Diceros bicornis minor: one gene and its partners. The protein of the gene in region 1 interacts with the protein of each later gene in a pairwise test. Links are inferred from orthologs where the notes say so. Each region holds a gene or a part of one and is shown on either strand. Other genes may lie near its edges.

What was found.
Region 2: the proteins of NDEL1 (region 1) and MIS18A interact in binary tests that used the Homo sapiens proteins (3 or more experiments, as listed by UniProt). The link is inferred for Diceros bicornis minor from reciprocal best matches to the Homo sapiens genes NDEL1 and MIS18A.
Region 3: the proteins of NDEL1 (region 1) and PKP2 interact in binary tests that used the Homo sapiens proteins (3 or more experiments, as listed by UniProt). The link is inferred for Diceros bicornis minor from reciprocal best matches to the Homo sapiens genes NDEL1 and PKP2.
Region 4: the proteins of NDEL1 (region 1) and CCSER1 interact in binary tests that used the Homo sapiens proteins (3 or more experiments, as listed by UniProt). The link is inferred for Diceros bicornis minor from reciprocal best matches to the Homo sapiens genes NDEL1 and CCSER1.

The regions. Positions count from the first base shown.
Region 1 is NC_080757.1:10,012,928-10,020,087, forward strand, and holds the start of NDEL1 (nuclear distribution protein nudE-like 1), read right to left. Parts: upstream 3,014-7,160; 5' UTR 2,851-3,013; intron 1-2,850. UniProt on the Homo sapiens protein: Required for organization of the cellular microtubule array and microtubule anchoring at the centrosome. May regulate microtubule organization at least in part by targeting the microtubule severing protein KATNA1 to the centrosome.
Region 2 is NC_080766.1:32,924,839-32,932,224, forward strand, and holds the start of MIS18A (protein Mis18-alpha), read right to left. Parts: upstream 3,015-7,386; 5' UTR 2,986-3,014; coding exon 2,640-2,985; intron 1-2,639. UniProt on the Homo sapiens protein: Required for recruitment of CENPA to centromeres and normal chromosome segregation during mitosis.
Region 3 is NC_080756.1:31,062,203-31,069,583, reverse strand, and holds the start of PKP2 (plakophilin-2), read right to left. Parts: upstream 3,015-7,381; 5' UTR 2,968-3,014; coding exon 2,745-2,967; intron 1-2,744. UniProt on the Homo sapiens protein: A component of desmosome cell-cell junctions which are required for positive regulation of cellular adhesion.
Region 4 is NC_080747.1:73,989,652-73,997,536, reverse strand, and holds the start of CCSER1 (serine-rich coiled-coil domain-containing protein 1), read right to left. Parts: upstream 3,015-7,885; 5' UTR 2,641-3,014; intron 1-2,640.

The DNA.
Region 1 (7,160 bases):
CAGAACAAAGCAATTAAAAATATTTAACCAGGGAACAAGTGGTAGGAGCAGCATGGCACAGTGGTTGAGAGCCCAGACCCTGGAGCCAAACTGCCTAGGTTTGAATCAGACTCCTCTACTCACTAGTTGGGTGACCTTGGGCAAGTTACTCAACCACTCAGTGCCCCATTTCCTCATCAGTAAAATGGAGCTAATAATTAAAATAGGGTTGTTACGAAGATTAAGTGAGTTAATATTTGTAAAGTACTTAGTACAGAGCCTGGCATATAGTAAAGACAGCATAAATTTCATTAAATGATAAAAAACTGGTAGTTCAGTCATGGACCTTTGAAGTATTACCACAAAATAAATGTGCTTCAGAATTTATAATATATAAATGAATCCTTAAAATTAATCACTTCTGGAAGCTATATGCATATTCCAGTGATAGCACCATTACTGAAAACATTTCTAAAATTTCTTTTGGTGTAGTCTTGAAGAGCCCGATTAAAAACTAAACAAAAAGTTCTTTCTTTGTGGTCACACCTCATTTTTACTGCTTCCTAATTGGTATTATCAAGCTTTATCATTCTAATTTTATTCATCAGACTTATCCTTTCCAAAAATCAGATTTTTTACAAATTTTCTACCACTGCAGATATCCAAAAGACCTTTTCATGGGCTGTAAAGACAGTCTGTTCAGTTTGCTTCAAGTTACAGTGGGAGGATGTGTTCACTGTGTTATCTGAAACTATGTAACTGGAGATATTAAGGCTATAGAAAGTTAGCCAATACAGAAAACCATACTGCTAAAAAAAATGCTTTAATGATACATCTACAATCTTCTGAAGCTGAAATGAAGGCAGATAATTAGGTACTCTCCCCTGCTACCCAAATCTTCCCTCCATACCACGTCTCATATGGATGGAGTGTGCATCTCAAAAGTGTGCTGACTTTTACATGGGCTATTATCATACTGTATAGGACTGCCAGTTATCTAGCAACTGACAAATCCACTTATTTGGGTATAAAACAGCCTGTCCAAAATGCTGTATTTACAAAGAAACTACTCTTTGTGCAATGGTAAGAAAATCCATTTTATATGATATTGCTTCTTGTTAATAGTTGTAGAATGGACTAATGAGATTAAAAGAGTTCTCTTGGAACTCACTGTAGGTAATACATACCTTTTTACCAAAATTCTTCTACTTCTCCCAAAGGTGATATTTACAGAATTTTTAACTTTTCAAAGCCCATCATAAATATGGTCTCCCTTTTTGTCCTGACTGTCAAACTTCTTTTTCTACCTTATGAAGTGCTCAGTAACTTATGTCAGAAGTAATTTTAAGCTTTAGTAACCAAATATATCTCCACATGGTTTAAAATGAGAAGAAAAATAAGTTTTACAGATGTCATGAAAGCAAGATGTACGTTTTTACTGAGGTTTCTACTTATCTTAAGTGTTCCTTATCCAACTTCAACTTATTTAATTTAAAAAGTCAAAACAGAACTAAAAAAGAACAGTTTCTTAAGATTTAGCAATTTCTATCTGGGCTACGTCAACCTCTAACCAGGGCTATCCAAAGGTTTTCTTTGTTCTTTATGACCTCTAATTTTAAATAATAATTTTGATAAAAATCCACAAGAGAGATCTGGACTCAGTTCTCCTTTACTTCTCTTCAACCCAAGACTTAATGCTGCATTTTATCCCACCAACTTCATGATTTAGCTAAGCCATGACCCTATTTCATAAGTGGATTAAGAGCAACACAATATATCAGACAAAATAATTAGCCAGCAACCCGTGAACAAGTTTCAGAGTAGGATTTTTCTTTTAACTGAGTAGCAATTCTTATCCTAAGTAAGTCCGATCAAAAATATTTGAATAAATCTTCTACTAGGCTTCTGGTATATTTTTGGCAAGTCAGATTTTCTGTTTTGCTTTCTAGCTGAGACGAGTATAAAAATCCCACAAAGAGAAACCATAACTTTGAGCCCAGAGACGTAAATTCTGATCCAAGCGAATCCACTCACCAGTTGGCAGAATCCACAGTATAAATCACTTAATACTCCCCACCCCAGCCGGGCTCAACTTCCCCATCCGTCAAATGGCGATAACAGAATCAGGCACAACCACAGGATGATGAGGTTCAAAAGAGATAGCAAGAATGTTCTGAAATGTGTGAAGGCGCTACAGAAACGGAAGGTAATAATCAGTAAAGAACTCTCGCTTTCTTGACAAAACTTAAAGGGTTACTTGGTTGCTTACCAGCAAAAAAAGAGGAGAGCACAAGCAACCCGAACCCGTCTGGTGACACTTTTCTGAACTCCAAAACGGACGACTAGCAGTTCGGGGCGGGGAGTCACGGGAATGCCGTCGGAGCCCAACGTGGGCTGCTTCCGCTCTCGCCCGCCACAGCAGAGAAGCGACGAGAGCTCAAAATCCAACCTGGCTCCAAACCACCCTCCCGGCTGAAGGGCTGGGGGGAGGAGGCGGAGGGCTGGGCGCGCCGCTGCCACCTCCAACTGAGCCACTCCTTGCGCCACCAGAGCCCCGGCCCACGGTGCCACGTCCCGGCCTCCGTCCCGGTCGTCCCTCACTCCACCCCCGGACGCGGCACATCCTCCGGAGGCGGACCGGCTCGCCCCCTTCCAGGTGGTGGGCCACCCCTGGGACCGGGGCGTGGAGGGGGCAGTTAGAGCGGTTGGAACAGTTGCCCCCGGACTGGCCGCCCAGAACCTTGCCCCGGCCCGGCCCAGCCCGGCGGGGCCTCAGACACAGCCCCCGGGCCCGGCAGGCTCCCGGGGACAGGCCTCGGCGCCACCGGCCCGGCCCGGTCCCTCGGGAGCGGCCCCGCACTGCAGGCTCACCTCCAATGTGTCAAAAGCGCATGTTCGCCGCCGTTCGACCGACGTCTCCGCTCCGCTGGCCTGGCCAGGCCCGCCCAGCCGCTCAGCTCCGCTCCCTTCGGCAGCCCCGAGCTCCACTCCGCGCACCTCCGCGCCCAGCTCCTCCCCGACACGTCAAGGGCTGCCTGGGTGTCCGAGGCCATTCTGTGACGCACGGGGGCGGGGTTCCGAGCATGCGCGCGAGCGCGCGGGCGGCCAGGGCGGGGCTGTGGCGAGGATGGCGTCACAGGGGGCCGGGTCGGCCCGGCGCGCTGACGTCAGGCTGGCGGCCGCCTCTGCGCAGGCGCCCCCGGACCTCGAGAAGTGGGGGCGTTCGGTTTTCGAGGTTCCCAAAAACTCTCTGCTGTTCCGGACAATGGCACCACGCTGGATGAGACTCTGCCTCCCGGTTTTTCAGCCACCAAGGTCTTTCAGGTGTCTGTTTCAGTGTTCCCGTTTATAAAATGAATGTCGGCTCAGATTTCACCTCGAGTCTAACCTCAACCACCCTACGAAATACCAGGGGTGTTCTAGTGCCCTTCATCCCTCTCTCTCAGAAAGACCGTTTTACGGCACTTAGACTAGCTGGAAATTTTATACTTGTTTTTGTCTTCCTCCAGCAGAATGTAAGTTCCATGAGAGCTAGAACCTCCTTTGCCTTTCTTGTCCAACAGATAGCTTGCTTGGTTCTGGACACAAAATGAGAACTCAAATATTTGTTGAATGAATGAAAGGATTCGTTGAGGGCACCAAGAGAATATAAATATCCATTTATATATTTTATGTAGCTAAGCTTATATTTATTTATTTAAGTGTGTGTGTGTGTGTGTGTGTTTTCATCTCCCTGGGACTCCTAAAGAATGGAATCCATTTTATAGGACTAGGAATTCATTTTATAGTCCAGGGAACTTGAGAGGGAAGAGGGCTGAGGGGGGAGTAGCTCAGAAAGGGGAGAAATGAGGGTGGGCAACTGCTTAGGAAGTGGAAACATGAAGGAATAGAGCTGTTTTAAAAACAATTTTAGGAACTTCTGCTGTGTAATGCACAATGTAATTCTCTCTGAGGTCAGTGTTTTTGGGGATTGGATTTGTGGGTTTTGGGGACACAGTAATGACTTGTAAGGCCTCAAGGTGAGAGCAAGGTGAGCCTGGGAGGTCCAGTTAGATTTTTGAGGAAATGGACGTAAATAGGAACAATGTAAATGGGTTGTAAGAGGTGTCCAAATCAATGAAGATCAGAGACGTGATTAATGGGGTTTGTGGGAAGGGTGGCACCTTGAGCTGGACTCTGAATAATATAGGGTTGAAAAGATCATGATAATAATAATAAGAATAGTTCACTTTTGTTTCATCTGTGTGTACTGGCAATTGTGCTAAACGCTTGGTTTGCAGAATTTAATCCTCACAACGACCCTGTGAGATAGGTACTGTTGTTATTCCCATTTGACTAATGAGGAAGCTGAAACTCAGCAAGATGAAGTTGCCTAAGGTCACTCAACAAGAAAAAAGAGGACTCAAGATTCAAACCCTCCTAATCTGGATTGTCTAACTCCAGAAACCACACTATTGACCACTGCTATACTGCCACTCAAGAAAGGGGACTATTAATAATAACTACCATTTATTGGGCTGGAGCACTGTGCTAAGTGCTTTACATACATTACCTCCCTCAAGCTCACAAGCAGCTTATGAGGCTGAAATTATTACCTCCATTTTATATATTGGAAAACTGAGGCCCAGAGGACGTGGGGTTTAAACCTAAGCAGGTCATATTCCAAGCCCAATGACCTGGGACATCATGGAAGCTCTTTTAGGCTCTGGGGCTCTGCTTCCCTGGCCGAAGCTGTGCCCTGGCCGATGAGATCACAGGCAGAGAGATGATGAGGCAGGAAGGCTTTCTTGTGAACCTAGTGCCAAGACAGAACAGTCCCGCCTCAAGAGGGAAAAATAAATAAAGGCTGCAACCCTGGTCCCTGCCTCCTGGCTGAAGTCCTGGGAAATACACTGAGTCACCTAATGGCAGGCCAGGCCCTGCAGAAAATGTTGACGTCATCTTCCAGGCCACCACCCCTCCCACCCAGCCTGGACCCAGAACTGGTGTTTGTCGGGACTGGTATGTCGGCCCCATCCTAATGAATGGGCTTTGCTTGGCAGGGCCCTCAGAGGTATCAAAGCCCTATAATTGATCTCCTTCCTCTGTGTTGGTTGAGCTTTCTCCCAAGTAACAGCCACCTTTGCCCCATTCCCTGCTTCCAGGATGCCCATCCAGGGAAAATAAAGTGGAAGTGAAGACTAAAGACAGCCTCTAAGGGGAACAAGAGTTACAAAATCAGCTTTGTGAAGGTGGAAAAGGTGGGTGAGGGTTGCCCCAGCCTCTCCCTTCATAAACCATTAAGAAGGGGTTTGCTGAGGCCTAGGTCCCAGTACAGGATCTTTCTTGGATTGAGCGCAAGGGGTCAATGTCACAGTCCCTGAGAGCACGCACAAGCATCCCAACATCCTCCCTGCCACAAACTCTGAGACTCAGGAAACAGAGGCCAGGTTCCACCACTGGGGGAGGTGTGGGTTGACCAGCTGACACCAATGCAAACTCTAGCTAATGAGGATGCTGGACTCCAGCCCACCACACTCACAAAAGGTGACGCCGTGCACCCAAGCCTGTCATGAAAACTCTGAGGAGATGGGGCATGTGTAACTCTCCACTGAATCAGGTGAGCAGACACCTGAAAATCAAAGGTTTGATTCAGCCCAATCTCTCCGTATTTTTTGGCCAGTATTTTCTGCTAAACTTTAGGGGCATAGATCAGGCTGGTTACTAATGGCCTGCTGTATATGTCCACCAGATGTCCCACCACCACCTCCAGCTCTTCATGTCTAAACCCCAAACAGATTCTCCTTTTGCCCCAGTTGAAATTTCCAAAATGATTTTCATGTTTCTGCCAATGGTGTAATCACTCCCCTGGCCCCTAAGGCACGAAGGTCTTGTCAAATCACCCTTAATTATCCCCTTCCCAGCTTTCATTTCACTCACATGGCCACCAAACCTGAAAGACTTGCCCTTCATAACTCTGTCAAATAAATCCATTTACCAGTATTTTCCCCCTAAATCTTCCCAGTCCAAAGCCTCCTACTTGTCTGTCCCTCCCTTCCCAAACTTCTCTCCCTCGAATTTCTTCTACTTTCAGCATAGTAATCCACACAGTCATCAGAATAATCTTGCTAAAATCTCACTGTGTACAGAGCATCACTGGCTCCAGAACTTGTTTTGGCATCCTGTTTCCTTTTGATAAAGTACAAACTACAAAGTCAGGCATTCCAGGCCCTCCAAAGCAACTCCAACCCACTTCACCTATCTGTGTCTGACCAGACCCTCCACTTGTCCCCCAAATGGACAGCTCCCTTCCTCTCTGGGCCTTTTATTGACTCCCACTGCCCTGTGCACTACAGCTGCTCCTAGGCTCCCTGGCCAGCCTGCCCCTCTGCCTTTTGAAGTCTCACTCATATACTACCTCCTCCAGGAAGCTTTCCCTGATACCTAACGTGAGTGCTCCTTCCTGTGAGCTCAAGTAGAGCCCCCGCATAGTTCACAGGAGACTTACTGAACACAGCCTTTTGGTCATGGAGGTGTCTGAGCTTCCCCAAGGAACCAAAGCCCGCTGAGAGCAGGGACAGTGTTGATTGTCCTAATATCCCCCAGCAACAGGCACTTAGCAAACATTTGTTTAATATGCTTCAATGAAAGTGAAAGAATGAATCAATGGTTTGGTGGCTAGAACTCCAAATGCAAGATTGACAGCACTTTCTGGAAAATGCCCCAAATTCTGAGAAAAATTACCATATAGAGACAAGATTTTCCCTGGTATGAAAGGCTGAACTTAGGTGATACCAAGTTACAAAGGAACCAGGATTGGGGTCCTAGGCAATTATGACTTTTCTCTAGCCCAAATCTTAAACCCAGTCTATAGCACCTACAATCCCCAAAGCAACATCTTTTCCTTTTGTAATAAAAAATAGTAATAATAATAATAGTTTTTTTCATTTAAAAAATTACACACTTGGACCTTGAGGTGAGAAGTGGTTTTATAGAGAGAGGAACGTCATTCATCAGCTATGAGTTTAGTGTTTGCTCTGTTGTAGGCCTTGGGGATTCAACCATGTAACTATAATAAAGCATACCCCTCCTCCACCCTCTAACCCCACCCCCATGGAGTTTATATTCTAATGGGGAAGACAGACTATAAGCAAGTAGACAAATTTATTTCTGTTAGGTCATGACAAGTGCTATAAAGAAAC
Region 2 (7,386 bases), on another chromosome or scaffold:
CTCTTTGGCCACACTAGCCTCAAGGCCTTTCCACTAGCTGCTCCCTGTGGCAGGAAAAAGCAAAGAGCATGACCCCAGAATTGTACATGAAGCCAAGTTGACATTCACATACAAGACATTTTCAAACACTCAAACTTGAAGTTTCCTTGGGGATGGGGAGACCACGGATGATTAATCAAATAAACAACTTGGAAATGAAAAAGATATTAATAAGCCTTCTTATATTAATAAGAGTCCCGGAGCTGAGAAATAAATTCACATAGACATTATATTAAGGCTCAATGACGACGCTATGGCTACAGAACAATGTAAATGTTATAAACCTTGACAAAGTAAAAATAATTAAACTCCGATTGGGTCAGGAGGGCATGAAAATTAATCCAAGAGTTCATTTCTTTATCTTTTATGGGGGGGTGGTTAAATCACATTGTCTAAAGCTGATTGTTTTTAAAATTTAAATACTGGTATAGAAAAACTAAATAACAGAATAGTGTTTTTATATATAAAAACAAAACAAAGAGCCCATGTGGCAAAAGATAGAAAAGAAGCTGTAAAAGCAGAAAGTACAAGTAAATTGAAAGATTTAACACCAAACATAGTATTTTTTTAAAAGCTATAAACAAGATAAACTCACCTACTAAAACCAAGGGCTTCTACTGTATCAAAAATCTCAACCTAAACACATGCTGTGCTAGCCGCGCCAATGCTGGAAACCTAGACCTCTATCAACAGGGGCAGATGGGGAGGATGAACGGCATTGCCACTAAACAAACTGCTTAAGCGGCCCTTGCTTATGTATTCCGAGCACATGACACACATTAACTCTTTTAATCCACCTAACTGCCCCCTGTGCTACCCCCATTTTACAGAGGAGGAAACTGAGGCACAGAGAGGCTAAGTAGCTTGCCCAAAGAGACACAGCTAAGTGGCAGGGCAGGATTCAAACCCAAGCAGTCAAGGGCCTCCACCACCACGCTATGTTGCCTGCCTCTCGTTAAAGGTACACAAAGCAGCTGCTAAAAACGTGAAGTATACTATCTACATACACTGATATGGGAAATATGGGAAAATATTCAGATTATATGTGTGGAATAAAAAAAGTAAGGATGCTTAACAGTATAAATAATATAATCTCAAGTGTGTTTTAAAAAATTTACTCTTTTATATATGCTCATACAGGCATGGAGTGTATCTGGAAGTATAAATGAGAATAAGGCATGTTGAACTCTAGGGCTATGAGAGTGTCAGGTCAGGGGAATAAATCCTTTTTACTTCTACACCTTTCTGCATTGTTTGACTTTAATAGGCACAAAGGGTTAATCCCAATGAATTACTATGGGTAATGTACGTTCTTAGGCCTACGTTTAACAACTGAAAGGGACTCAGCAATTATTGTTAATGAACGGATGCATTTTGGAGAAAACAGCAGGTCCCAAAAAGTTCCAAGTAACTGGTGGACACTGCTCCTTTCTTCCCAATATTATATCCCAGGAAGGAAAATATTCCACAACCGTCAATAAATGGGTGGTAAATTTCTGTTATCAAAATATTCATAGAATTCAGACAGACCATAAACTTCATGTTGAAAACCACCAGTCCAAAAAGAATAGCCATTTTTACACCAATTCAGAAAAAATACATGTGAACCACTCCCCTAAATAAATACTATGAAAGCAACAATACGAGGGAACAGTGGAAAAAATACAGGTAACTGGTAGGCCCAGGATTAAAAGCTAGAACTCTTCACTAAGTAGTAAATAACAACAATAAACACACAGAGACAGAGATTGGCTTGGTGGTTACCAGAGGGGAAGGGGGCAGGGAGGAGGGCGAAAGGGATAATTTGGTACATGTGTGTGGTAATGGGTTGTAATTAGTATTTGGGTGGTGAACATGATGTAATCTATGCACAAATACAAGTATAATGATGTACACCTGAAATTTATACAATGCTATAAACCAATATTACTGCAATAAACAAAATTTAAAAAAAAAATCTAGAACTCTGGCCTTAACTCTTTTATTATCTTCCTCCTTTCTTTCTAATTTTGATGGGGTTGTTGGTACTTTTACTGCAAGTTTCCTTCTTTTTAAAATTTTTTTGATAGCATTGTATTCTGTCAACTCTATAATTATAACACTTCAGACTGTAAAAGCCTCCGCTGATAGAACTCATAAGACTTGAGAAATCAACGCCGACATCTCCCTGCAGGAACCAGGTAGCTGAAAAGCTTAATTTCCTAAATAAATGATTAACAATACTACGTATTTACCAATTAACAGCCCGCTAATTTCTATGAAGAGTAATACAGAGTGGCTACACCCCAAACGCTTACAACCTGGTTGGTCATTTTTTTCTGAGTAATGCTCACAACGATGCTGATTCATCCGCTGCTCCTCTAGGACGGGGACCCCAGAAAAGGAACTGTCACTCGTGACAGTGAGCCCAAGGTGCAGGGATGACCATTCTCCCCTTTTCCTAGGACAGCTCACCCTCTCAGATGTTCCTGCTTTTAAAGACCCCGACGTGGCAGCCTCAAGGAACCACCGCCACCCCCCTCCCCCGACCCCGCCTCTTCTGGAGCCGCCCACGGAGCCCCTGGAAGAAGGCGGCCCCAAGTCCCCCGGCCCGCACTGACAGCGCAGCAGGATGCAGTTGGTGTCCTCCTGGCTCGTCACCCAGCTCAGCGAGTCGCCCAGCGGCCGCCGGCAGCCGGAGCACAAAAACACCAGCGGCCTGTCCTCCTCCTCCTCGGCCGGCTCCACCGTCTCCTCCCGCCGCGTCCTCTCCGCGCAGGCCACCGACGCGTCCCCGCTCACGGAGCTCCACATGCTCGCCCACTTCTGCAGCAACTGGTGGCGGCTCGAGTCCTCCGAGAGCCGCTTGCTTAACAGCGAGGAGCCGCTCCACTTGCCCTTGTCGCCGCACGCACAGCTAGTAGAGGAGCATCCTTTGAAACAGCTCGACGACCAAGCGCCCGCCATTACCTACAAATCGCCCGCGCCGCGGAGGGCCACGGGAAAAACGCCCTTGCGCATGCGCCTGGAGGGGAGAGGCGGTGGAGGCCGAGAAGGGGCCGGGGCCTGAGGGGCGGAGCCAGGGGAGGAGGGACGGCGGGCAATCAGCTAGCGCGCATGCTCTTCGTCGGGCTGAGCCAGGCCGGGTAATCACTGCGCCTGCGTCAGATTTTCCTTCCCTGGGAAGTTGAGGCTGCCGGAGGTAGGGCAGCCAAGCTACGTGGGAGGGGGCTTCAGCACCTTACATAGGAGCGGTGGCGTCCTTGAGAAAGTTACGCGCCCCAAACTAAACTAAATACTAACCCCTCACCGAGACCTTCACATGGTTACTAAAGCGAATGCGCCGCCCCAACACCACTCAGAGATAGAGGAATTGGGGCACCCTCCTGCTTTATATGGCCTCGTCCCTCCTCGAGATGCTACAGCCCCTCAAACTTCAGCGTGCCTGACTCACCTGGGAGCTGGTTAAAACACACATTGCTGGGCCCCGTCTTCAGGGATTCTGGTTCATTGGGTGCGGTGGGCCCGAGAATTTGCCTTTCTAACAAGCTCCTAGGTGATGCTGATGCTGTCAGTATATGGCCACTCTCCACCTCTCTCGAGGTGGAGAAAGCAGGGGTTGTTGGGGAGCCACCCTGTCCCACCTTCCTTTTGTACATTCTTATTGCTCCAACAAGACCGAGGAAAGGGCCCCAGGTCACTCAGGCTAGCACTGCAACGAAAAAGCTGGAGAAGCGAGTGTGGGCAGCAGCTGTGTCGCTGGAAAGCATGGAAGTTCCTCTGCTGTCTGGGTCTGGGAGCCATTCGGCCTTTGCACGGAGTGAGCATCCCTTCTGGGTGGCAAGTACAGACTTCCTCAGCTGCCCCAGAAAGCCAGCCTCTGACTTGAAAGCACTAGAGGTTAGGGCGAGAAAGGCTGGTGGGGAACAGACCAGCTGTGTCACCGACAACCTGGCAGCACATCTGGGAAGAAGGGTACGCCCAAGGATCTAGGTCTGCTCTTAAAGACCCTTTGGGTGTGCCCTAAGTCACTGCCCACTTTGCTTGGTCAGATAAACAATTTACAAAAAATTTACATCCAATTTTAGTGCCTCTGGCCACTAGCAAAAAGCAAAAGCTTTGTAGTCAGGAGCCGTGGGTTGACCTACCCCTCCACAAGGTACTAACAATGTGGAAAGGCTATTTGCCTTCCCTGAGTGGATTAAATGGGTCAGTACTGTGTGGGGGTTATTATGAGGATCAAGCGATGTAATATGCATAAAAATATTTTAGCTCACTGTGCCTATGTTAGCCTCCAACTAGAAGAAAAGGCTTCAAATATTTTAGATTTTTGTTTTGCCCTTAGAATTGCCTTCCCTCCTTCTGCTTCTTTTGTGGAAGCTAGCCTGACCTCCCTGGACTGCTGTTTTCAAGCACAATGTCTCTGTACAGTGTTGATACAACCCACACCTGTTCTTTAAGTGGGTAGTAACCTTGGAATTCAAAGGACCATCTCTTTGCCTCAGACTTTGGGTTTCTACTGGCAACACTTAAATTTTGTGGTGGGATATCTCAGTAAAGAAGGAATACAAAGCTGGGCTGCCTCATGACTTTCAGCATCTTAAGCACTTTTGCCTTGGTGGGCCCATTCCTCCATAAAAAATAACAATAACGATAAAAATTATATTTTACAACTGTATTGCTATAAGGATGAATATATAAATATTATATATTAAAACATTTCTTTGACCTAAAAGTTCATTTATTTTTCAGGTTTAGAACAAATTAAAATATTTCATGGGGCCCTAAAAATATCGTGGGCCCTAGGCACTGTGCCTAATGGAGAAGTCTGCCCCAGTGCAAAGTGAACTCCTCTATAGTCACAAGTATGTTTGTATTAGGAATATAAAATATTTAGATACCCACAAAATCATATTTTGTGTGGGGACAAAATGGGATGCTTGAGGAAAATGACCTTGGACTGAGTGGTTGTAGTTGCTTCCTGAACAACCATTCACACCCTTCCTCTTAGTTATACAAGTAGGAGATTTGAATAAGGTTAAGTCCAACTCCCATCACCTCCACTACCATTACCACCAATTCTAGGAATGAGTCCCCAGAGGTTTAACCCAGTCAGGATAACCCAACTCTCTTCCATAGCGATTGGTGCAGGGATGGCTCCTACCCCAGGTTTAAGGAAATCAGGTCATGGTGCTCCCGTAGCATTAGGAATAGGCTTGGGATAACAACTTGACCTAAGTTGTCGAATTTTATCCAGTCAGAGTAAATCTTAAGACTCTCGTTCAGTGGCTGAGGTAAAAGATGTCCTCTTTGTTCCCCGGATATGAACAAGGAAGCACATACCCAGGTTGCTTCAGGCAGCCATCTTGTAAACCTGGAGAAGGGCAGCACTGAGAGAATAACAGAGAAGTTGGGCACCTGACCCCTGGACTTTTTCAGTTGTGTGAGCCACCAGATTTTCTTTATTTTGGAAGCCAGTTTGAACTGTTTTGTTTTGATTGTTTTTACTAGCCATTAAAAGCATACGTAACAGTCTGTTGCAGTATGTTAAAACTGAGATTTTGACTGATACAAGATAAGGTAAAAATGACATAAAGTGTGTGAGAGACATCTGGAGGGATCTTCAGAGTGGATATTGGAGAACTAATCCTTTCTGCCCTTAAACTTTCTCCCATATTTTGAGAATATTAAAGACAGGAGAAAAATGGTGACTGAGATGACCTCATAACGATTTGTTTGGAGACAGGCTGAGTCGTGAGTTCCAATCCTCCTCCCCAATAGAGAAAGTGGAGAATATCTGCCCCCTTGCTTCAGTCTGGCTGAGAGGAGACTTAGGAACCAATCGCAAAGCCTTGTGTTCCCAGGTGTTTGCAGACACAGTGGCCCGCAGGAGAATCGGGCTGTTGAGCTGTTTTGGTGGCACAACAAAGGTGAGCCAGATAGACTGACAACTAGATATGAACTTTGCTGGCAGGAAGGTCATCTAGAATCTTAAATTCTGCGCAAGAAGATAACCTGGAAGGATGAAGATTCTCCAGCAGTGAGCATCCAAGTATGAAAGGGCCCCTAGAGGACCAGGGCTGTGGGGAACAGCCAGCCCAAAGAGAGACCTTCCTGGTTCATGGGTGTGCAGCTGGGGGTGGGGGTGCAGGGATTTTCTGAGGGGCTGGGAGAGAGAGTTGGTTCTAACCATGCCAGGCCAGAGGGTGCAAAACCAGGTTATAATAGAACCAATTCAAGTGAAAACTGTCCCGTCCCCTTTGGCCCCCATTTCAGCCTAGGAATGGAAATAGCAGGGAGCAGGTGAGGCGAGGAAGAGAGCAGAGCCAGCCATACACCCCACCCCCAGCAGGGGCAGTGGCCCACCTACATGTCCTACTTGGGGGAGGAGGACAGCAATTCTTTTCCTAGAGTGAAGATTGCAGTGTTGATTAATGTCTTGGACTGGACACCATCATTCCCTCATTGAGATTCTGTTTGCAACTAAAGTGGCTGTGGAATTGCCTCTTCCCTAAGAGGATACGCTCCAATTCCGATAATATGGGGAGAGTTTCTTTCCAAAGTGTCAAAGGAGAAGGGTGTGGACAGCGTGTAGGAGAGAACCTCGAGGGGTAGCGCAGGACCCTAGGTTAACAGCGTTGGAGCTGACACCCTCCCTCCCTTAACTCACAGGGAAGCAGGAGGAAGAGGTTACTAGAACCTGGAAAGAAAGAGAGTTGTGAAGAGCAGACCACCTTAAGAAGATCACCCTTCCATCAAGGGACACAGCCAGCGGAGGTGACCTCACAGAGAGGGAGATGGGAGATTGAATTCCTGGACCTTGTTCTCATCTCTCCCTCCCATTTCCTGCTGGAGCTCTGATTGCCCAAATCCAGCTGGAATCCAGAGGACATGGAGCATATTGATGTGACTCATACAAGTCAAGTTGGCGGGTGGATCTGGAGGGGCAAACAGAAGGAACCCCACACACATTGCCCTTGTCCTCATCCGGGGGTGCTGGGAAGGCTATCCTCACCGCATAAGTTCTAAGGGCATAGTAGGAAGCAAAATTCAAAATAAGGTTCCATTTTGATTCTATCCTTCAGTCCTTCTTGCTCAACATACTCGTTACTCAGACTACCTGATTCAATCCTCAGTTCTGGCTGGGTTCAAAAGCCTTGGTGTACTTCACAAACAAATGCTAGTCTGACTTAATATTGTCGGGGGAAGAGGGAGAATCTCCCTCTGCCCTTTCCCTTAAGGTTCTTCTGGCTGGCCAAATAATCAACAAGGCAGGTTAGCAGGAGAAAATAATACCAAGTTTAATAACATGTATACATGGGAGAAAGCAGGGACACTGCGTTTCTCAACACAATAGCAGAAATTCTC
Region 3 (7,381 bases), on another chromosome or scaffold:
GTTCCATGGCATGTTGATGTCAAATTCCTTTGAAGTCGATTACTTTTTGGAGTTTCAAAAAGCTGAGGCTTTAAAGTAAGTAGGTGTTGTGTGCTGCCTTATCTCTCTGACTGACTTGCACTTCTGTGTAGGCTGCTGAGGTATTTCAGCTTGCTGGGAAGCTCCTGCTGTAATCAAAAATATTTCAAACGCTTTGTTCCTTAGTTGGAAGAGCCACTCAAGCAGTTGCCCTGAGCATTAGAGCAGAAGCACCAGGACAATGTCCTTTGTTCTACTGTATCAATTCTGCCGACGATGAAATATTCCTGCTGTTCCCTCCTAGCATGCTCTTCCTCCAACCATCTCCCTATGTCCAATCCTATTGAACTTTTATGGTTTAAAATCTCAGTTCCTCCAAGAAGCTTTTCAAAATTCCCTTCAGCTGGTAGTCTAACTCATACTTCTAAACTCCATAATGTGTTACCTGTTCTTTTGGGTTGGTTACCATTTTTAACTTGATATCTCATTTTTTAGGGGGAGATTTCCTTCTTCAGACTTTAAACTCCTTGTTTTAAAGCAAGCAGAGTCTATGTTTAATTCAGCACCTCCACGTGAAGAACAGACTCATTTGATAGTTCTTGAATTCACCAAGCAACATGAATTCACCACGTGATAGAAAAGAGATCATGTGTGGGTTTGGGACTAAGCATCCAATTAATGTTGAGAGACTGACACATTCTTCTTAGGTGAAATGGATCCTCCTATCTACCTTATATAATCGTTTTAAGGATATAATGAAACGCAAACATATTCTTGAACAGGGTTAGGCACATAGGAGACGCTCAGCAATACTCCCCTTCCTTCTGTTCATTCCCCCCATTTATTGAATAGTTGATGTCTCATTGCTCTTTCTGACTAGCCATTCTCATAGCATAAGAAAGAAGATCTAATATGTATCCCCCTTATGTCCTCCAAGCAGCAGAAGCTACTCTGGTTCCAGTTTAGCACTGGACCTGCGCACACTAATGGAGTGCAATGACTCTACTGGTCAAAAATTGACCTCAGTTATCCTGGAGTCTTTAGTCTGACTTCCACATGTAAATTTAGGTTCTTTTTTTCCACGTACTGTGGCAGTTCTGTGCTATTCAGACCGCCCCACTCTCTCAGGACTACCTCAATTTTATTTAGAGGAAAATGGGAGGGGTCATAGAGAGGCTTAGGGTCTAATAAAAATCCCAATTTGTATTCATAACCCGAAAGTTTAACAATATAACTGATCAGTGGTTTAAAAATTCCGGCTTAGTAGTTTAAATGCCAGTTCTGCCATTTACTATCTGTGGGAACTTGAGTGTTACTTAACCACTTAGTTTCCTCATCTGTATAATGGGGATTAAAACACCTACCTCATAAATTTTTTTTTTGAAACACAAATAATATAGTGAATGTAAACCACACAGTCCAATTCTTAGCACATAGTAGGCACTCAGTTACATTAACTATAATCATTAACATCTTCTGCCTTTCAACTATGTAAACACTGACTGCCTGATTCTTTAGGATTTTTTTTACACAAATTGAAAACAATACAGCCTCCCAGGGTCTGCTGTTTTAAATCTCTGGTCTGGTCTGCAAGCATTTTTCTTTTTCCTAGTGGGTTCTGCATTTGCCATTGCCCAAGTGACTTCCCAGAGAAACAGGTCAACATTGCGGGCAAACAAACTGATATCCCAACTGAATTAATGGTTCAATTTCTTTCCTTTTGTCTTTTCTATAATAGGCCTATAATACTTTTATAATGAAAAACATAAATTAAACAACTAATAAAAGAGTTATTGTGTGGCTCTGATCCTCTGACTATTAACAGGAGAGAAAATGATATATCATGTTCTCTAATTTTCACAGCTGGTTTGCCATCTTCTTCCACCTCCCCCGACTATCAATTACTAATATAGTGTTTTATTTTTTTTTTAACCCCTTTCAACTCCAAGTTTAATTTTTTGGAGAGACTAGGGCTGTGCCCACGAGGGTGTCGCCAGGGCGCAGGGAGGCGGACCGGGCTGCCGCTGGCGGGGACAAAGTCCTCTTCCTCCTCCTCCTCCTCCGCGCGTGGGGTGGTTGTTCCCTGGCCCAAAGCCTTCTACCCAATTTTTTCACTTCCTAGATCAAGCACTCGCTCCGCACCCTGGGTGGAGCGCCCCAAAGTACCTGGGCGAGGCACCGCAACCCCAATTTACAGGTTGTAGGAGCGCCAGAACTTTCAGGTTTTCTTTTCAAAATATTTCCGGGGGTCATAGACTCTTTAAAAAAAAATCTAATAAAAGCTAGGGGCACTTTCTCCCAGAAAAATGATCATACCAAATTTCTGCATAGAATTTCAAAGTGTTTATAGACTTCGGGAGCCTCCAGATTAAGGCCCCGGGGGGGGGCGCGCAGGGGGAGCTGGTTAAGGAAGGGGTGAAAAATCTTGGACTGAATTCTTTCACATAGACATATACGTGCATTTAATATACGTAGATACATATATGACAAAACTGAGTAAGAGATTATTTTAGAAAAGAGTGCTTTGCCCAAGTAAGCCGGTCTGAGTCTTGGGGCGCGACGGGTCATACAAAGGGACGGCGAGCAACAGGTGGGCAGAACCCCAGGTCCCGCACCCTCAGGAAGCAGCGAGTGGAAGCAACAGGGTGCTAAAGGTGTGGGAGGGATAGGGAAAGGGGTAGGGGGTAGGGTCGCGGCCGTCCAGGGGCCGGCGGGGCTCCACTCACCGTTGCCCACGAAGCCGCGGCCCTTCCGGGCCAGGGTCTGCTGCACCTGCTCCTGGATCCGCAGGCTCTTGGCCGCCTGGCCGCTGCGGCCGCTGCTCCCCGCCAGCTTCAGCTTGGCCTCGGAGGGCAGGGCCAAGCTGGAGCTGTCCAGCTGCCCCAGGATCTGCTGGCCCAGGACTGTCCGGATGTAGCCGCATTCGGTTGGGGAGCCCGGGGCTGCCATGGGGCCGGAGGAGGCGACCGAGCAGCTAGCCTGCCGCGAGACCTGCAGACGAAGCTGCAGAGGAGCAGGGGGCACTGGCGCGAGCCCCGCCCCGCCGCCCCTGCCCCGCCCCCTGCCCCGCCCCCCGCGCCGGTGGGAGGCCCGAGCCGGGGGGAGCGCGGCCTCGAGAGCCGAGCGCCCAGCCTCCCCCGGGGGAGGGGGCGCGGCTCCCTCCGGGCACGCGCACTCGGCCCGGAGCGGGGCGGGGCGGGGCGGGGCGGGGCGGGCCGCGCGCGCCGACACCTGGCTAGTTGGACCTGCCGGCTGGGAGGTGGGAGAGGGCGCGGTCTGCCCGAGGTCGCGCCACTCTCCGAGTCGCCACGGATGCCGCCTGCTAGCGCCGTGCCTGGCTCTATTTGCCTTGCTCGGCCTCCTCCCAGCCCTCGGAAAGGATGTGATTTATGCCTGATTGCGGAGGGGCCGCCTCCAGGCAGGTGCGCCCTGGAGAGTCACTTCTGTTCTTGGGCTGCTGAGGTTTGCCTCTGGGGTCCCCGAGTGAAGCTGGTTAGGCAGGCTCTGTCAGACTGTTGGAAACATTACATGGTTTTCCTAGACCTGAGGGTGAGAAAGGACTATTGGGTCAGGCGGAAAGGACGATAGGAGAGAAATGTGCCGAGATGACATGTGTGAAATAAAAGACTTTTTAATATAGTTTATTTTTTAAATTAGTACAACTTCAGGGGCCGTGTTCTTTTTGCACAGATGCAGTCCCAGAAACATATGTTCTTCCTCATCCAGAGCTTCTGTTTTCTCATGCAGATACACAAATCGTACCCAGTACACTCTTGCTCACCCACTCCTCTCTTACGAACACACCCACACAGACAAACTCCAATAAGAGGTGCTAGGGAAGAGCACACTTTTAATAGCTGATAGTTTTTATTAGCCCTGCTAACGTTAAGTCCTCTTTATGATAGGCTCTTTGTAGGGGGCCCATGGAAGGGGCCTCTGACTTTCAATTGCATCTTCCACAACTTATATTTATCGTGCTATTAATTATGTTTCACGAGTAGTTGACTACTGAGAACTTGAGAGCTAAGCTCAAGGGAAAGTGTCCTTGATCTTAAGGTTTACAACCTAAGCCACTCGTCCTGATTTTCCTCTTTGGACTTGACACGCAAAAAGAAAAACATCTACTCCTGGTATTAAGTAAGATAATCTTCCCTTTGATTGCTTGGGTTAGTATGTTCACTTTTCCTCAAATCACTCAATTGCTGCAAAACCACACTTATTCAGGTCTGGAGTGGCCGAGAAAGTTTCCCCCTTCCCCATTTTCCTATGCACACCCTTCTGTCTTTACACACACACTTAATGCACAGGTATACGACTCTCCAAGGGAGCAAAGAGAAAATCAAGGGGCCCAAAGCCTTGACAACGGAATGGTGACAGCTCTGCCACCCTTTCTCAGCCACCACATGGCTAAGGCCTTGTGGAATTTAGTGCTTAAGTGGAGTCATGGGGATGGTGGGTCTTGAAAGCAGTTCCTCCCATCCCAGCAGGACCAGTCTTGAGATAGATTATACCTTGTGAAGAGCTCAATTATGTAGCCAGATGTAAACCTCCAAACCTCATGCTGAGACTCAGTTGAAAAGAGAGGGGTGAACTGACGGGGAAGTGATGATAGCGATTTCCAACAACAAACACTATTCCTCTCCCCTTCTTCTTCCTCTCCCCCTCCTGGTGGCCTCTTTTGGCAGGCCTGAGAGTGTTGCTTTGAAAGACAATTTCAGTACCTGCCCCCACAGGGTCAGGTGGGGCATCTCCTTTTTTGTGCCTGGAGAGCTGTAACTTACAAGATCAGAACCCTCACCAGCAGAGTGGAGAGGAATTTTTCTCATTTATTTATTTGATTGAGCCAAACTTCATTCACTTTTTTCTTCTCAAATGGATTTTTTTCTAAGTGTGATGTTGTAATTGACTATCTTCTTAGGTAGGTACCAATATTGAGCATGTAGAAATTTCGTTATTGGGCAGTTGGTGAATTGACAGGAGGACGATGGTTAAAAGCACAGCTTGTGAGTGAGGCAGATCTGGGTTCAAATCGTAGCTTGCCCTTTGTACATAGTGTGGCCTTAAGCAAGTTTCTTTGCATTTTTAAGCCTCAATTCTCTTACCTGTAAAATGGAAGCATTTTACAATGATGATGAAGTGCTGCTGTGAGGATTAAATGATAAGTGGTTCATAAGAAATACTCAATAAATAATTGTTCAGTGCTCTTTAACAAGCATCCCCCTGAGATCCACTTCCAGATTTCCTCAACTCTTTCTGATCTCTGCTTATCTATCAATTTACCATTTGAATGAGATTCTTTCACACACACACACACACACACACACACACACACACACAGTCACTCACTATCTCCATTCTCTGCTTAATTTGTCTCCATAGCACTTATTTTCATTACACATGCTTTCTGTTTTACTTATTTAATTGTTGATTGTTTCCCTACTGGAACGTAAACTCCATGAAAGCAAGGATTTTTTTTGTTCACTGCTGTTCTCTGGGACCTAGAACAGTGCGCATAGTAGACAACAGGTCCATGTTGAATGAATGAATGAATCATGCATGAAAGCACTTAGTATATTACATGGTGTATAATGAGTGCTCAACAACTGTTAGTCTAATAATTCTTTAGGCTTTCGAACTCTTTTGGTAACTTGTTAGCATCTTTAAAAAGTCCCGTAGATATCACTATATATTCTAGGTATTCTACTAATTGGCTATGTAATATTCCCTGTTATAAACAACAAACTAAACTGAGATAATTTTTGAATACTTTCAGAATTCAATGATTCAGTAGAACAATCTCTTCGAAAATAAGATAAATGTATAAACTCATTAAAAGGATCCCCTTGGAGTGAGAATCCTATTTCAAAAGCAAGAGTTAATTACAGGGTAAGGAAATATGCAAACTCTGGCATTGTGCCCCCAAACGTAGTCTAGATGTGCTTCTGTTCCAACAGAGTGCGGGCTCTGTCATGTTTTTTGCGTTTCCCGGGAAGGCTGCCTAGCCGACTTCCTAAATTGTGAGCCAGACCTGAGATAACTGCTGAAGGCAGCTTCTAGCCAACAAATTGAAGCATGGAAATGAAATGCTATGACTCCTTTTGTGGTGTTTGGCTGTTCTACAATCTGTGATTTTTTAGTATTTAGGTTCAGTTTTGAAAACTCTTCCATTTCTTTTCATTTACCAACAGAATCTGATAAAAGAAAAGAAAAGCAAAAGCAGAGGAACCAAAGTTGAGGTAGAATGTAAATAACAGATAAGTGAATGATGAGGCTACAGTTCCTGCTGGTGGAAACCTACAAGAATGATTAAAAAATTCTTGAGTTTTAAACTTGCATTTTTATCTGCTTTACGCACTACAGCCTTAAAACACTGATCTTTTATTGTTTGTAAATCTACAGTTAGGGCTTCCTCAGAGTAAACTTTATTTTCTTTAACCATATATAAATTCCAATATGGGAAATTCCAGTATGCAAAGAGTCAGGAAGTTACTGTAAGACTAAATATAGTATAAATTTTAGAGCAAAAGTAATATTTTTTTCTCTTTTTTTTGCTGAGAAACATTTGCCCTGAGCTAACATCTGTGCCAGTCTTCCTTTATTTTGTATGAGAGTCGCCACCACAGCATGGCCACCAATAAGTGGTGTGGGTCTGCACCTGACAACCAAACCCCGGCCGCCACAGTGGAGCTCACCAAACTTAACCACTAGGCCATGGGGCTGGCCCTCAGAAAAAATATTTTAATAGGGAACATTAAAGAACATTAATGGCACCAAAACTCTCTGATTCATATTAAAAAATACTCTAACACATTTTCATGAGTATCTTCTCTCATGAAATATTTTCCTGTTACTATTTGTAGGCTATTAATATCTATTGCTTTTAAAAAGTATTTCCTAAATTACTGTAAGAAACCTGGCAGATAGAAAGTTTTAAATGAACCATGGGTTTTATTTCCTTTTTCAGCAAATGGATATGTTGCCAAGGCAATCAGTATCAGTTTATCGTTAACCACATATGACAAAACTATCGGCACTGGAAAAGGAAACTTTGAACACGTAGGCCCTGAACATCACTCTCTGATGGGGACTTTCAACAGCAGTGAGCATTAAGGTGTTTATCTTTAATACAGATGTTCATTTTGTCTGCTATTTTGGCTATATAGTGTTTGGAGTGTGTAGGTCTGAAAATTATTCTTCTAAAAAGACCTCAAATGTGGTGTGGGAGGTGGAAACCAGGTGGGCAACCCTGAGGGCTGGCAATGAGCAATTTGTTCATAGTTACTGAGGCTTTTGAGACAGTGCCTTTAATCATGATTCATGGGCGTATATGAGCTGGGTATATCAGTTAAAATGATTACCTTCT
Region 4 (7,885 bases), on another chromosome or scaffold:
AGACCAAGCAAGTCTTACCTACACCTGAAGCCTTTTCAGACAAAACCCAGCATGAACTGTTATTATCATGCTCTGAACTCCTGCAGTCCTCTTTAGACATGCAATCTCTTATTGCCACGGGTTGTTAACTCGGTTGAAGCATGAGCATCAGATTCTTCCCAACTGGAGAGTAAGCTCCTCAAGGGCAGGGAGCAAGGGAGTTATATGCTCCTCCACAATACCTAGATAGTACCTTGCACATGACAGGCTCTTTGAGTACTATGTTGAGTAATAAAAGGCAATAAAGAGTTGAATAATGATAAAATATAATGAATTTTTCATTTTCTACATGAGTTTGATATAAATTAACATTCTATAGTATAAATAATCATTAAAGTAAACAGTTGCTGATTCTTTGATAGTGTCAAAGAACAAAATATTCATAAATGACTTTTTAATGATTGCAATAATACATTTCATCCAGCACATTTTAAACCTCCCCATTATTTCTACATTCCAATGACTCAGGAAAGTTAACCCTGAGAGTGGTGCTCTCAATCTAAGTTCTAATGTAATATATAAAACTGCACATGCTTCAATGTTGAAAATGTATTTTAAACCAATATGAATCTAACTGAATCAAAATAACAAATCCTTAACTCTGCTTTGTCTTCAAAATCAACAGGACTGTTAAGAAAAGCTACTTTCACACTGGAAAAACACCGACAGTTGGCATGTTTTGATCAAAATAAGGAGCTCCTTAATTAATATCAAATGAAGACAAATCACTCTGACAATAGGTTGACCAGTTTACTTCTCTTTCTTCTCCATGAAATTATTGAAGGGGTGGTAGCAACACGGAATGTCAATGTTTTGAAAACATTGTGCTTGGCAGGCGCTTAGAGACATCCCAATTTAAAATAATAAGAACACTGTCCTAGTACCTGAGTCACAACCCAGTCATTGGTTCTATAAAAGCACAGGTCGCTGCTTTTAAGAACAAATTTGCTAAAGCATAGCTGGTGGACTCTGTCCCAAGTCTCCTCGAAGCTTCAAGTTATGTCTGGAATGTGTACCTGTTACAAAGCAAATAGAGAAACCAAAACAAATTGTGTTGCAGCCTAGATTAATAATATTTCAGGTCTTTTCTTAATAGCTAGTTTTTAACCAGTAGTAATCGATATAAACTCACCTAGACGTCTGCTTCTCTCTCCTCCCCAAGGCTTTTAATAAAACCAGCTTTACAGTAAAATGTGTACATTATTTTTAATAGCCTTTCTTAGGGATACGGATGGAGGATATATTACATTTCAGTGGGAAGGTATTCAACTGTAAAGATACTAGAAATGAAAGCTGTTGAAACCAAGTAGGTACCTTCTGTCCTGTGGGTCCTATGGAGGGCCTGAAAAGGTTAAAAGGAGTGCAGAATAAGTACATAAAAACATTAAAGGGCAAGAGATCAGTGACTTCTGAGAAGCATGTTTTTACTGCCTTAAAAAGACAAGGGATTTTCTGACTTCCCTCATTTCATATTCCAGGTCCCACGAGGTGTGGAGGGGGAAGCAGAATTGCTTCGAATTCTGAGAAAAGAGAGGAGAGAATGGAGAGAGAAAGAAGGAGGGAGACAGAGAGCAGTTCAGGATACACTGAAGGAAACCCCGAGAAATTTCACAACTCTTTGCCATAAATAGCCTTTCTTCTCACTCTGGATGCCTCCTCCTTTACATCAGCAAGGCTCAGCCTCCAGGCGCAGAGAAGCACCATTCACAAATCCCTCCGTCACCCCTTCGCGCACCCCTACCCCTTGATAGCAGCGCGTGTACGAGTCCCTGGGACACAAGCCAAAAGACCAGAGGGCCCAAGGGGCCACCTGCGGTTTCACCTCAGGACTGATTTTCTTTTCAGGTGAACCAGCGCATTGATTAGTCAGGAGCGCGAACACACACGAACGAACACACACACACACACACACACACCCCTCCCTGGAGCCCTCGACGCGCCACCACAAAGCAATTTGTTCACACTAAGTCGCTGCTGTTCGCTGGGGAGGGTCTCGTCTCCAACCCAGGAAGCCAGCGCCCGAGGACAAGCGGGCGGAGACAAGAGGCGGTCCCGGCTGGGGCACTGCGGCTCCCCCGGGAGCCCCGGCTCGCCGCCCCCTCCTTCCCCTCCCCTCCGCTCCCCTCCCCTCCCGCTCCCCGCCGGCCCCCGCCCCGGCGCCTGCAGCCCGGGTGCCAGCTCGAGCCGGCCGCCCCTACCTGCGGGACGCGAGCGGCCAGAGAGGGGAGCGGCCCGGAGCCTGCGCCAACTCTTGCGTCCTCGGCCGGCCGCGCTCCGCATCCCGCTGCAGCCGCGGCCGGGGGGCGCAGGGCGTTCAGCGGCGCGGAGGAAAAGGCCACGCAGCGCGCCGGCAGTCGGGGGCCGGCGGCGAGCGCGCCCGGCCGCCTCCCTCCCGCCCCGCCCGCCGGGCCAGGTCCCCGCGCCGCGCACGCCGGGCCCGCAGCGGCGCCCTGGGCCTGGGCTGGGCTGCTCCGGGGCGGCCCGGGCACGGCGCGGTCACCTGCCGGGCGGGCATCCCCGCGTCCGCCGGGGCCCGGCCACGGCGCGGCGGCGACGCGAAGCGCGACCCTCAGGGCGCGGGGGCACCGGGGGCGTTACTACCTTGAGGGTTCCGCGCCGCTTGTTAAGGCTCCTCCCGGGCACTCAGGGATTTATGTCTTCGGGGCACGGGGGTGTCTCCTCTGCTCCCCCTCCTCTGCCCTCCCTCCCCTTCTCGGCTGTTGGGCTCCTTCTCTCCAGTCCCAGTGGCACAGAGTCGAGCCGCGTTATTTAATAATCCTCCTGCTCCGCCTGCCTGCGCCAGCAGAGCCGCTCTGCCTGAGCCACCGCTTCCCAGTCAGTCATGTTGTTGAGAGAGAGAGGGAGGCGGATTGGCAGTCGGTCGGCGACTATTTGTGGTGAGAGAGAGAAGAGCAGAGCAAGAGGAGGGCAGGGGAGGGACGTGGGGAGGCGCTTCCAAGTGTGTGACTGCGCGGAGTGTGACTGTGCGGGGACCCCTGAGCCACCTCCCCGGCAGGCCCCGCGCCCCGACTGCGAGGAGGGCGGCGGCGGCCAAGGCCTTTATAGGGATCGGGGTGGGGGGGTTGGGCTGGGGTGGGGGTGGCTTGGAGGGCGGCGCCCGGCCAACTGCGTCCGCGGGTTTACCACGCACGCATACTCACACATTAACGCGCGCACACCCGCTGCTGGAGCGCTGCTGAGTTTTCATTTTAGGGGAAACCGTATCCGGCCGTGCTGACTTGGCTCCCCCTTCAGTCCTGCCTTGTGCGTAAGTCGAGTCCAAGTGCATTGGCAGGTCAAGACAAGGGAAGGGGGGAGTCTGGAGCGCTGCAGAGGGACCGCGGGGATGCTGAAAATGCACTGCATCTTTTCTCGCCAAACCACAGATGTAATCTTTCTCTTCCACCTCTCAGGGAGGAAATTGTGAGGTTCTTTCTCCTCTTTTCTTTCTCACCCTACCTATTCATATCCTTACACGTCTCCTCTCTCCAAGGCAGCAAGGGAAGAAACCTGGCTTCTTTCGTCTAAGCAGATCACACCTCCCAGGAACCATTTAGGGCTTCAATTCTTCTGTAGGATAATGGGAGCATTGGGACTGTGACCTGGAGTGGAACTTGTGTTCCCACACATAAGCTCCTTGACAACACGGATTTACAAACAGAACCAGCTACCATTTTGACATCATTTGACTGATGGCCCCCTGGAGAAAATTTGCTAGTTTAGAGTCTCCAAGACTTCTGATGCATGGTGGTGTTACTTACCTAATTTATTTTCCCTTGATCCCCTCTCCCATGGCCCTGCCTCATTTCCTTTCAGGTTTGCACGGGTCCTGAACTCTGTCCCATCCATCCCCCTTTTTTTATCGCCACTCCTATACATTTACATCTTTAGCAGGCAACACAGCAGATGGAATGCATTTAACTGTGTGTGTGGTGTGTGTGTGTGTGTGTCTGCTTGTGTGTGTTCTAAATAATCTGGCCATGATCTTACTTCTGAAATGTTAATATATTGGGTGTAAAAGCAAGGTGTACTTTTTGAATGAGTATTAGTGGTTGATGTGTATTTTAGCAAGAGGACAACCCTGCTTTGGGGGACAACTTTTTTTTCATAAATGTGACAAAAGGAAGTTAACATTTAGGAGGCTAGGGAGGTGGTGGCAAGGTTGACAACTCAGTTGTTATATCTTCTCTCCTGATTACTAGCTCATGACCATTGCTATGTCTTCAGATTTTTATCATATGGAGGCCCATTATATATTCTCCATATATTTCCCCTTTTTGACATTGATTTTCTTTTTCCCTAATTCTTTCCTGTCTCATACAAAAAGTTTAGAGTCCATTAAAGTCCACTAACAGCGGCTTAAGCATATAATCAAGAAAGGGCAGTGAAGTTGGGACCAGTGGATATATATCATGTTAGCTCCTTTGATTAAGCATTGGAAAATGGATGTATAACAAAGTGTATTGGGATTTAATGTGTGCCTGCCCTGTGAAAAAGCTATTATCGTTTCTTCAGTTTTACAGATCAAGAAAGTTAGGTTTGGGGACAGTAGGTAGTTAACCTGAGGTCACATACAGACTAAGTGATGCAGCTGGAACTCAACCTCAGTCTGCCTTACTCTTACTGTCCATACTGCCTCCCATTCACAGCTCCTGGCTTAGTCAAAAGTCTCAATGGTTTCTTTAGAGCTTTTGATAATTATGAAATAAGCTGATCTACAATCCTTTGGCATTTTCCTTCTACCTCCCTCCTTCTTTCCTTCCTTTTATAATTCAAAAGAGGTTTACAAAATGTTCACTTTTTAGGGTTAGGCAAGGATTTAAAAAGTCCTAACTACTTGGACTTGTAAATGAAAAAAGTTAGGAAGCTTTCCTCCAAAGTCCTCACTAAAGGAATCTTGCATTGCTGCAAAAGGAAGTTTTGTAGAAGAGATATTCCTGATCTGAACATTTGCACTTAGCGAATAAATATGTGGTTTATTTAAGAGCTGTAAATAGACATTTTTAAAAAATTGTCCCCCTTTAAGGACAATGCTCAATCATATTGGGCAAGTTTTTGGTGCTTTTATTGTCCCAGTTTTCTATTTATTTAATTGTTACCAGTAATGATAATTTATTATTGTGATGATATGTGTACATGTGTACATTACATGTGCCTGGTGATGGATGGTAATTAGTCTTTGGGTGGTGAACGTGATGTAGTCTACACAGAAATCAAAATATAGTGATGTACACCTGAAATTTATATAGTGTTATAAACCAATGTAACCTCAATAAAAAATAATTTAAAAGTTAAATAATAATGATAATTTAATAATGACTCTATATTGCATACTTCAAAATTATATATTAGACCGGATATTTCAAGGGCATTTTTGGTAACCACAACTGATTGTAATTTTCACACTTTCAATTGCATTCATAATTAGTGAGACCATGACAATCTGTCAATTGCCTTTATTCATTAAGGTATTAAATAAAGCCAACATTTCTTGCTTAATTTTCTAACAATTTTGCTTGCCAAATAAAGTCTAAAATTCCTAGACACTAGACCAGAAAGATATGAAAATATATAACCTAAAACACACTTATGAAAATATGATTCATTTTAACTATTTTGTATTTCTTGTTGAAAAAAATCTGTACTAGAAATCCCATTTATAAATTATAATGAACATTTTAGAAGTTAAGAGAATGCATTATTCTCTTTTAAGATTGTTTAATGTTTCAAGTAGAATTTCCCACTTTGCTATACTTTCAATGATATAATTTTTGTTGTGATAGGAAAACAGAAAGTTAATGATTCTTTCCAATTTGTTCATTTTCATCTCTTATGCTTGCTGCTGTTTGGTTCCCAAGTGCCTTTAACTGGCAAGTTCAATGAAGATTTGGCATTGCACCATTTGACGAAAGCAGAAAAATTAGGTTGCCAATTACATATGTGCCCCTTATGTGCACTGAATTCCCACCGAAGTGATGAGCCAAATTAGAAATTCTTCAGTAGTGGTACCTAAGAAGTAAAATTAGTGCCTAGGGAAGGTAAAGGAGGTAATTTTTCTTTCCAACCCTATTACTGTAATGAAATTCATAAGATGTTTTAGAAAGTGAATTAACTTTAAAATGTGCAAACAATGCTTGTAGATGAAGTGTCAGAAAATAAATTTAAAAGTTACATTTCTTTTTTCCTGTCCTAGCTATTTTATCATTCTTTGATTTACTTCATACCCTATCATGATTATGCAATCATTTATGAAGAAAGTTCGATGAAGGCCACTTCTCCGCTTTGCTTTAGCCTAGTAGTATAAAAGAAATGCAAAAAAGAAAAAAGATTAAAATTTGGTATTAACATTCTGGATTTTTTCTGTATTACTAAAAGCCAAATTATTCTTTTGTGACAACTGTTGTGACATGCAAGTGGCATTATGGTACCTTAGAACAACAGGAGCCTTCAATGGAGATCAAGGCTGAAATCTGCACTCGGTTCGAGAACAAGGGCTGATGAGAAAGTGTGGAGTAGGAGACAGGAGGATTGACTCAGCTGCAGTTCAGGGTCCAGAGAGCACAGGAAAAACTCAGTCTTAATATGGCATTAACTGGGGCAACCTGCCAGGTAGACAAGGCACAGTAGACAAGAATTTAGATAGAATTATTTTTCAGAAATCCGGTCGTGGTGACTATACTTGGTAAATTGCCTTTTTGCAGCAGAAATTCTGCCTCGTGGCAGAACAGCAGGATCTATTCATGCTCTTGCTCTGTGGAGGAAACTAAAAGGCCTAGCAGGTCAACCGACCAGGATTTCAGAGAGGAATCCTTGGCAGAAGCTAAGCCCAGGTGACTGGGTCAAAATACTCACTGCGTGAGCTGTCTTTGATCTGAGAACTACACAGACACCAAGGATGCGTCCCATGGCGCAGACGTGGTAGCAAGACTATTAAGGTGAATGTGTGCCACTGTCCTTGTCACTGGGCTTCCAGGTCCCAAGTTTACAAAGTGATCTAATTCTAAGCCCATTTAATGGGCTGAGAGGATGGAAAGCAGAGGCTATGGAGAGGTATCGCTTACACAGCGACTGAGGATAATCCTTGAATTTCCAGGGGAGGCTATCCAACTGAGAAAAGTTGAGGTGGCGGAAGGAGGTGAGAACTGACAACAACATTGATGTTCTCTGAATTTACACCTATTTTTTAAGGGGAGTAAACTGTATTAAAAATAATATTTATCAACATAAAACCAAAGGAGTCTTTATAAGCAGATTTACCAGTAGAAACCTTTCCTTTTGTATAGTTTCCTTATCTTTGTTTCTGTTTCCAAATGTGATTAATGAGGTCTTTCGGAAAATTAATGACCTCAAGATTTCTTACCTTCTCATGAGGTAATTTTCATGTTTGAATATTTGTCTCTTCTGATGCAATATTAAAAAAATATTTAACTCAGTTAATTCGTTCATTTGTTGATGTCTGTGTGTTGCATCTATCAAAGTGATTTTTTGTTGGGCTTTTGAGTTGTTCTATTATGATTGTCCCCAGGCATCTATGTGTTTGTAGACATTTCATTAAAATAAATAGAACTTGACACATTTTTTAGAGAAATCATCAGTTAAATCATCTCTAAAAATAGTATACTGATAAAATCTGAAACTATAACAATAAATCTGTGTATAAATCATATAAATAGATCTAATTATAACAATAGAAGAACTATAACAAAACTGTAATAATACTCTTGTACTATGTAGGTATATAGTAAAACTAGACGATGCTAATAAAATAATCTAAACCATATTAAACCAATACTTAAGCAGGTTGGAAACTGGTCTTACCATCTGTCAGTTTCTATACTGGCAGTTT